Linked DNA regions of Kluyveromyces lactis. The protein of the gene in region 2 binds, or shares a complex with, the protein of the main gene of each other region. Links are inferred from orthologs where the notes say so. Each region holds a gene or a part of one and is shown on either strand. Other genes may lie near its edges.

Region 1 (5,740 bases), on a different chromosome or scaffold from region 2:
TCAAGACCGTCCGGTTCGGTCCCAAAATTTAAAGGCATACTTTCAGGCGGTGTTGATAGCTTAATATTTCGTACCAACAACATCGAGCCAATGACAACTGTCAATAGAAAGAAAATGGCACCTAAAGACTCACCAATCGCAAGTGTGGTTGTGCCCCTTTTCATGGCCTTGTATGTACTAGTGATATCAGGTATAGCATTTCCCAAGGCTAGAAGAGTCATCCCAGAAATCCTGTCAGATATGAACAACAACTCCTGAGATATAACCGTCAAATTTGGCGTCAAGTAGTCTGAAGTGATAATCCCTAGTGCTATGAAGCATGTCAACAAACTTAATGGCGAAAAGACATACCTGAAAACTTCGTCTGACAATTGTGCGAATCCTACAATCACTGTCAATCCCAAGTAAAAAGTCAGTACAAATAGTTTCCTTCGATACAAAGGCATTCTTTTCGAACCTTAGAGGGAGTGTTTTCTCTCAGCCACTGAGCCCTGTCCAAATAACTACAGACTTCTCTGTATGTGTGGCTCGGCTATGGTTGGATTGAATAATGGTTAAAGGGAAGAACCAAGACCTTTTGGGGAGCAATATACCAAAAATGGGCGATGCGGCTATTCAACTTGGCGAAAAAGAGTATCCAAAAAAGTGAGATATACGCAAACAGATGAACGTACTCAGGTCAGTTAAATGTCAGTTGTGCCTTTGTCAGTGAGTCTTTTGACCTCGCCTGTTCTTTAATTCTTGCCTTGAACTCTTTTCCATTTAGCAATGATTTTCTTCTATGAAATGTTCTATTAAATAATGGTATAAATACATGTGCACAATTCTTGAAATCAACTGGAAAAGAAGATATTATCAACTGCCTCAGTTATCTTCCGGGCGGAACTGAGTTAGTCATCGTATAAGCTGGAGGATCAGCTGTTCTATTCTCAAACTTCACTTTTATAAAGTATCCTTAAGTTTCCGGTATCCAGGTAATTGTAGTTTCTCTTTTGCAATTTCAATGTCGGTATGGATATCTGCAATCAATGCGTCCTTTGTGGTGTAGTCTAACTCGGGCCTTATATACCCTAAGAAGTTGAATTTGATTTGGGCACCGTAGAAATTATCAGAAAACTTGTGGATTATGTGTAGTTCTACCGTCTTGTTTTTGTTCTGGTAGAATGGGTTCCAGCCAACAGAAAGTACCACTGGAAGAACTGCTAAATCTTCGTCATTTAGTAAGGTACCGTTATTGTATTGGACCTCTCTGCCATCGGGTCTTTGTTCCACCTTGGTGTCACGGTCCTTTGCCATCCTTACCTTACACCATCCAAAATAAACTCCTGTGTCTAGTTGCTCCACGATTTTTGGTAAATCATCGATGGGCACGTTCGCTGTAGGAATTCCTAACTCTGCTGATCCACGACCGAAACCAGCTATTACATCGACGAACGATGTGGTAATTGGAAAAGGAGGTTCAGGTGAATCCGGTATCGAAACGTCACAATGCCTTGTCATTGCTCTAGGTCTTACTGCGAGTTTTTGATGATCCGATCGTTATTCGTTTGTATGATAACCACATGGAAGTATTCACAAGATTCAAACTACGTTTTTAAAGGTTCGAACTCTTTGAGTATAAAGACTGTTGCAAGTAAGAATAAGAAAGAAAAGGGTAAATGGGCACGTGAAAATGGGTTCATGGTTTGTTCAACAGTTGCGGAGTATTTCTAGGCAATGAGGTACGCTCTCTCTCTGGAAATATTTGAATCCTCATTATTAAAGTTTTATGAGAACATAAGGCATATACTATGCCCTGAACACATGATGAAAACGAAGATCTGAAGGTATACATACATATATATATATATATATATTTTACTAGAGAAAACTCTAGCCGTTATGCTGCCATATCTGGGAATGATGATATTTGATTTGTATTATGCCATTCCTCGTTAATAATGCGGAGTCTTGCTGCACCAACGAATTTTTTGTCAGCAACAAGTGCAGTTAAATCAATCGAAATAACTTCAAGTAGTTTTGTTGCCTGAACGTTGTATGCTTGGAGCAATTGTGCTGCCGCAGCCTCCCACCAGTAGGCAAGAACGACGAAGTGTGTATTTGTAAGTAGATCCTTTGGAGTGTTGCCGATTCTAGCTAGCATTCTCCATGACCAAGAGATTGGGAAAGGATGCACAAGTTTCTGAATGTACGTTTGCGGTAGAGGTAATCTTGTGATGACAGCAAACAAGGTAATCATACCACCCATCCTTTCATCATATGAAATATCTTCTTCCCATCTGTTGTCACTTTGACGTTTCCATCCCATTCTGGTTCTTCCTTCGACTGTGTCTATGCTGCACGTGTAACCGATAACAAACGGACATTTCTTGATGAGTCTCGCCAGTAAGAACTCTTTGAGTTCCGGGTATGATGCAAGAAGACTTAGCGCAAGTGTTCCTAAAGGCAAAGCGCTTTCAGGTTTCACTCTGGCCTCAGATTCTGCTTGGGAAACAATCGCCTTAGCTATAAAGTTTAGAATCCATTTATAGGCTAATTGGTTAGCCTTCGTTTGAAGTACCAGTTCGGTAAGTTCATTGGTGATTGCATTCAATTGTGCAGTACTGTTGGTTAATTGTCCGAATTTTGGATTAATTTTCCTCTTATGTTGTGCTAAAGTTTTCTTCAAGGTGGGATCCGCCTTCACCGGTTCAATTATTTCTGTTTTAATTGTCTGAATCATGGTTTTGTATTTAGTAAAAGTTTCTTCGATTAACTTGAAATTTGTAGATTCTTTGGACTGTTTAAGTTTATTCCTCTCCAGTTGTTCTTGTTCTTGCTTCTTTTTCAGGGCTTCTACTCTCTTCGCTTCTTCAGCTTTCTTCTCCTTTTCTGCCATTTCTTGAATCTTCCGTTTCTCTTCCTCCTTCAACTTCTTTTCCATCTCCTTTTTATGCTTCAATTCTTCTTGTCTGCGCTTCTCCGCTTCGCATTCTTTCTGGATACGTGCTTCCTCTTCCCTCTTCTTTTTATCCTTTATGCTTTTAATTAAACGTTGATTCACCTTTTCAATTGAATCAATTTCCTCATTCCACACAGATTCAAGCACCTGGTCTTGCATAGGAAAGGTGTGTTGTTCCACCTCGTCAATCAAATCCTTCTTCTCTTGGTAATAAAGTTCTGCTTCGTCAATAAGAACAGGGCCTAAAGCTTTATTCTCGTGACCTCTCGTTGTAAGATGCGGTAGTGCATTCCTTTCAAGAGTGATATTTAAGTTGGAAAGCATTGAAACTATTTCTGGTTCTACCACATCCTCTAAAGAAATTGTATCTCCTGAACTAAACCCTTGCTCTTCACCTTGGCCGTCATTCTTTGAAGAATGGTATAATTTCGGTAGTTTTAACTGGATCCCATCAGATGGATCGCCAATATACGTAAACTCCCCGTCTAATTCATAGTCAGAATCACTGCTGCTGGTATTCTGACTCTGTTTCCGTTCAGCATTCTCGTACAATTCGTCAAATGAGAACCTCATCTCAATTGTCCTGATATGTGTCAATCGCTTTCTTTACTTTATCAAATCGGTAAAAAGCTCAATTCAAGTAAACGATTCGGGGTTAAGTTCGACTGTTATTACCTAAATGGAGAATCCAGCTACGTGTCTTTAAGTACGGGATCAAAAAAAAACGGCTGCAATGCATCAACACAAGGGCTGAAAGGTCAACACTCTCTATAATCATCAACTGAGCTCTACCTGGTTTTTAATCAAATTTCACTTTTTGTTGATTCTTGTCACGTGACGTATATTGAATTCTCTGTACTTGAAAGTTTTAAAAATTTTTCGACCTTTCGAGCTAAAGCTGTAAGATAATGATAGAGATTTGATCAGTTTCACTCGATTTAAAGCAGTATTCCTTCCCATTCGTAGGTTTATACATTCATTCGTTCGCATCTGTGAGAAGATACCAAGTGATAATGCAAGTGGTACGTGGTTTCCACAGTAGTTCAAAGGTCTCCAAAGCTGCTTGTGCTTTGGTTAAGCCAGTGCATCATTTGGTTAAGATCGACAAGAGCAAGCTATCCCCAAGGTTTCCTGAATTGAAATATAGTAAAAACGATATTAGATCTCCAGCATTCAAGCCTGTTGTTACACATCAAGACCGTGTTCGTGAGCATTATTATAATACTTTACAAAGCGATTTATTATTGATAAATTATTCCCACAAAAGCCAAACGAAGCTCGGGTTGAAGCAAAGAGAATGGGACGGTTCTTCTCCATATCACATTAACAGAGAACCCAGAAAACCTAAGGGCTCAAGTGCTCAATTGCCAGATATTCATCCAGTAACGTGGAAGAACATTCCAGACATCGAGTCCGTTGTTATTAACTGTTACGTCAGAGATGCAAAAGAGAACCAATATCTACCAATTTCAGCAGCATTACAATTGCAACAAATTACCGGGTGTAAACCAAAGGCTTTGTTCTCTAGGAATGATGTTCCGGCCTGGAAGGTCAGAAGAGGTACCCAAATGGGTGCTGTCATTACATTGAAAGGTCGTCCAATGTCTCAGTTCTTATCCACTTTGACTGAAATTGTACTACCAAGAATCAGAGAATACAAAGGTATCTCCAACAAGTCAGGTAACAGATTTGGTGGGTTATCATTTGGTATGACCAGCGATGAAGTCAGATTTTTCCCAGAGATTGATGCTAATCAAGATCTTTGGCCAGTAACTTTTGGTATGCACATCAACATCAACACAACTGCCCAAACTGACGTACAGGCTAGAACTTTGGTCAGTGGATTCGGTTTTCCTTTCAACGGTTCGGAAAAGATCAATTAATGCTCCCAAGTAGTTTTTATCCTGTCTTTCGTCCTGTAAATAACACTCACTAATAGGATAAAAAAATTATCAGCATTATATGTATATGACTACCTTTATACAAATGTCGACGTCTCTTAATGTACACTTATATGTAATAGATTTCAATAAGTAAAAAGTGGCATATATATTGCATTACAGGTAATTGGTGAGATCAAAGTCTTCAAATTATTAACCTCAAACACGATCAACACTAACGATATTCATAGTTCTTCCCATTCTGGTAATATTGTCACCATTGGTTAAAGCTAACCCTTGGGTCTTTGAACGAATACGGATTTCACCAACAATTTCTTGTGTGATTGGATCCTTCTCTATGCACAGGTTAGCCAAAGCGTCCTCGCCAAATGTAGATCTAGAATATAAGTTACAACTTAGGAATCTGGAATCATTGTCGCCGAGTGCCTCTTCAGGGGTTAGAACCTTCATATGTGTAACTTCCACCAACTTCTCTAAATAACCGCGTAAAGATGGTAATTTGGATTTGATACGAAGTTTATTTTCCCATTCAAACGCATTCCACATCTTACGGAAACTGTTATCATCGCAGATTGCTGGTTTCACATAATCCATTGTGTCGATATGAACGTCATTCAAGATGACATAACGAGAATCTTGACCGTGACCACCATCATATATAATGTTACCGAAAATAACACCAGTATCTGCTGAGGACACCTTTGCTGTTATCGTAATTTTGTGGAACCCATGTGGAATAACGTTGGTGCTAGGTGGGTGGTCAATAATTTTTAAGTCACCAAGAGTAGCGAATTGAACATGTAGGTTTTTCAAAGTATCCTTGGTTTGGTTCACTAATAGAACATCTAACACAACATCGAATTGGTGATTAGTGATATAACACTCGGCATAAACAGGA
Region 2 (4,282 bases):
TCTGTTCCATTTTCTTTTGTGGTCCGTCGTCAGTATTGAAGATTATGAATTTCAATTCACCAGATGAGGTATCATCTTCTTCCATCTTTTGGCGATTGATGATAAGGTTTTTGAAAGACTTTTTGTCTGGATTAAAGAGGAGTTCTCCGGTAGTTAAAATAGCCTCATCAGTAGATGCAGTGAAAATTGAAGAATCCATAGGCTTTCTTGTTAGAGCAGTCGAACTAGTGTCTTCCTCCTTGGGTTTTGATAGTTTTAGATGAATTTTAACCTTTCTGGAGTTCGGTTCCGACTTTTTAGAGTCAAACAAGGGTTTTGGAAGCAGCTTGTATGCTGCGGAGAGGGAGTTCTTTTTCTTCAAGTCTGCAGAAACCATTGTGGCACTAGGCTTAGTTGGTTGAGTAATGGAATTAGGAATAGAGATAACACGGGAGAATAGCTCATCCGTACCATATGGATTGGAGTTCGCTTGTGCTGCTTGCTGCTGGTTTTGCATTTGTTGGTTTTGTTGCAAGGAAGATGAAGAGAATAAACCACCTGTATTTGCATTACCAGAAGTGTTGTTTTGTGATCCAAATAATCCTGTCGAACCAGTATTTGCTGGCTTATTCGCAGAAAATAAACTTCCGCCACCAATTGATGAGGCATTGTTCGTGTTTGTTGCGCCAAAAGGTGCAGTTCCGGCAGGTTTTCCACCGAATAATCCACCTCCAGTGGTACTACTCAAACCACCTGTTGGTTTAGTGCCGAAAAGGCCACCAGATGTTGACGCACTATCAGCTGGTTTGGCACCAAATAGACCACCAGTAGCCGTATTCTGCTGTTGTGTGTTGCCTCCGAATAACCCGCCGTTGGTAGCTCCTAAAGCGTTAGTGCCGGAAGGTTTGGCACCAAAGAGACTACCCGATGATTGACCTTGTTGCTGGTTGTTTTGACCAAATAGACCCCCCGTTGCTGTGTTGTTCTGGTTGTTATTTTGACCAAACAATCCGCTAGATGTATTCTGCTGCTGACTACTTTGGCCAAATAATCCACCAGTAGTTCCTGTTGGTTTTGCACCAAACAATCCTCCGGTGTTGTTTGCCATACTGTTGTTCTGCTGACCAAATAAACCACCGGTGTTAGGTTGCTGTGTTTGTTGGTTCTGATTACCAAATAACCCCCCCGTTGCAGACGGTTGATTACTTTGTCCGAACAATCCGCCAGATTGTTGTTGCTGATTATTTTGACCAAACAGCGCGGAACTACCACCCATTACAGTTTTATTTTGAGCTCCGAATAACCCAGTTGAACCTTGTTGACTTTGGTTGTTTGATCCAAACAGGCCACCGGTAGTTGGCTTCGCACCAAATAATCCTCCGCCCTGTTGATTCATGGAGTTGCTATTTTGTTGTCCGAAAGGACCGCCAGTGCTAGCTGCGTTACTTTGTTGTCCGAATAATCCTGTACTGTTTGTGTTAGATGGTTGTTGCTGTCCAAATAAACCTCCGCCAGTATTGGTGTTGTTTTGTCCAAACAATCCACCCGCCTGAGTATTGTTTACCTGACCGAATGGAGTAGAATTAGCAGCATTTTGTTGACCGAAAGGAGAGGGTCCGTTCTGTGCTTGCTGACCGAATAAACCGCCACCTGTAGTTCCACCTGGTTTTGATCCAAATAATCCACCTGAGGTGTTATTATTCTGACCAAATGCGTTATTGGCGTTACTTTGTTGACCAAAAAGTCCACCAGTATTGGCCGCTGTGGTGTTATTTTGTCCAAACAAACCACCCGGTTGATTGTTGGTGTTTGTTTGGCCGAAAGTGCTCCCAAAGGTGTTTGAACCAGTATTTTGACCAAATGCGTTACCTGGGTTTTGCTGTTGGTTTTGTTGACCAAATAATGAGTTGTTGGCTTGACCAAATGCGGAATTATTATTGGTGGTGTTTTGTCCAAACAGACCTCCAGAGGTAGCCGGTTTGTTTAAACCGAATGGAGAAGAACTTGAAGCAGTATTTTGCCCGAATGGAGAATTATTCTGCTGTTGTCCAAACATGCCAGTTTGCTGTTGCTGCTGTGGTTGGCCAAAGGGAGTGTTATTAGGTTGTGAAAATGCATTTACAGGCTGTTGCTGGCCAAAAGGTGAATTTGCAGGCTGTTGACCAAAGGGAGTTGCGCCACCTGCACTGATGGTATTTTTATTTCCTAAACCAAAAGTGTTGTTAGTACCATTTGTCTGTTGTTGACCGAATGGCGAAGCAATAGCAGAAGCTGTCGGACCTCCAGCAGTGGTGCTAAATTTCCTATTTTGTTGATAATCTTGGAACCTCAACTCTTCAAACGAATAAAGGCTATATTCAGGCATACAAGTAATAGATTGAAACACCGATGGATATCCAGTTGACACATCCTTTTCCGTATAAGGTTGGAATGGCTTGATTCCAGTGCCAGAAGGAGGTCCAGAAGAGAGAACGCCTGTCGCTGTACCACTAGATTGGCTACCACCAAACAGGGATGGTGGGTTCGACAATGAATTACCTGCTGCTGCTCCTGCTGCTGCCCCGCCAAACGGAGAAGTAGTTGTATTTTGCTGTTGTGACATACCGAATGGGGAATTTATAGTTTGCGTAGGGTTTGTATTAGCGCCGCCGGTACCAAACCCACCAAACCCTGATTGCGCGTTGTTGGCAGAGCTGGATCCAAACAGATTGTTTGTGGTTCCACTATGCTGTTGACCGAACGCATTGGTTGTTGACTGAGTTTGTTGGCCAAAAGGAGAAGTACTCGTCTGTCCAAATGCCGGTCGAGAAGCACCAAACATCAGTGGGTCAGGAAATCAAGTGAGGTGACAATTGATGAAAAAGCTGACTAGGAATAAAATAATATGTCCTTCAATGACACAAGTAATCTCTAAGTAGATAATACCAAAGTCGTAGCGTTTTGGTTCAATGGTATTTTTCTGAGAAATAATTTAAAGATGAGTGAGTGTCCTTGTTCTCTGATTGTGAAAGAAGAAACACACTAATCAATTAACGATCTATAAAAAAATTTCCCACTTTACGCACTGTATGAATACTTTTATTGGTCTCAGTTGCTGATAGTATGACTGAAAGACAAATACGACAAATCATATAAGCCGAAACATTGCTTGCATCAACTTAGAAAACGTTAGTTCTTTATCATCAATTAGTTGTTTACTTCAAGGATAAAGAAATTTTCAGAGGTGAGGGATGACCTAAAATCGTATTAAGTGACATAGCGTACGTAGTGATACGTAGTTTTGGGGGATTGTGATGTAGCAGTAATTACTTGAGCACAAGGGAACAGCTGCTAATGCAATTCTGAGTTGGCTCCCTGTTTGAAACACTTAATTCCAATATGTTATATATAATGAATTCCGTCTGTTAAATTACCCAAAAAGTATATATGTTCTATATAGTCGAAAGAAATGAAAATAAAATGAGAGATAAAGCCAGGCAGTAAAGGCATTAAAAGATGCATCTCTCTGGTATGCAAATCTTCGGTAGACACAATAAAGTAGATGTGAAACCCCCTTATTGGCTTTAATACCATAGCGTCATAGGCTCTCTAGGCCATTCATTACCTCATTCATAAGTAGATAATTCTTCAAATTCCTGGGCTTTAACGACCCTGTCGTTAAATCCACGATCAAATCTTCCTCTTCATCAGAATCACAATAGTCTTGCTCTAGGTCTGGAGTCGATCTGGGAACTGAATTTAAACTTTTGAAGCATTGTACTATCACCTGGGAAACCTGCTGCGTATCTTTGGCTTTTCCAAAATTGTCTGTGAACATTGTTGAATATTGTCAAACGGGGACGCTAATGGGTATATTGTAGTAGGCGCTTGTTAAGCCTATTCGGAGGTCGGTATCCTGTGTTACTCCTTATTATGAGACGTCTTTCTTACACTTTTTAACTTATCAATACAAGATACAGACAACCTCGAATCTATTACATAGGCCTTGTCAACAACTGAAAGGTTATTCCTTATATATATATAACCTCCATAAAATATACTACAACAAGATAACAATAACACACTAACAAATTGTGGTTAAATCTCTGAAACAAAATGGACCACTTCTGTGGGCAAAGGAATCAAAAGGCAGCCCGTTAATGTGCGTTATCATTTGACACTTTCACAATAACCTCTCAGCAGGAACTTCAAACACCGATCTTTTCATCAGCCTAAGTGAAAGTACCGCAATAAAAAGTGTGGCTTTCCACTCATTCCTCAACAGAGCATGTGACATGCGCCTAATGAATGCCCCCAAGAAAAC

What was found. The genes of interacting proteins can lie anywhere in the genome.
Region 1: NUP116 (region 2) and GLE1 share a complex: the UniProt entries of both Saccharomyces cerevisiae proteins name them as parts of the nuclear pore complex. The link is inferred for Kluyveromyces lactis from reciprocal best matches to the Saccharomyces cerevisiae genes NUP116 and GLE1.

The regions. Positions count from the first base shown.
Region 1 is NC_006039.1:1,323,972-1,329,711, forward strand, and holds GLE1 (nucleoporin GLE1), read right to left. Parts: upstream 3,515-5,740; coding exon 1,880-3,514; downstream 1-1,879. Other genes in the region: YCX1 (Ycx1p), read right to left, coding at 1-446; FMN1 (riboflavin kinase), read right to left, coding at 943-1,500; MRPL7 (mitochondrial 54S ribosomal protein uL5m), read left to right, coding at 3,955-4,824; SEC26 (coatomer subunit beta), read right to left, coding at 5,041-5,740. UniProt on the Saccharomyces cerevisiae protein: Functions as a component of the nuclear pore complex (NPC).
Region 2 is NC_006042.1:2,465,765-2,470,046, reverse strand, and holds the start of NUP116 (FG-nucleoporin NUP116), read right to left. Parts: upstream 2,801-4,282; coding exon 1-2,800. Other genes in the region: KLLA0_F26686g (uncharacterized protein), read right to left, coding at 3,557-3,796. UniProt on the Saccharomyces cerevisiae protein: Functions as a component of the nuclear pore complex (NPC).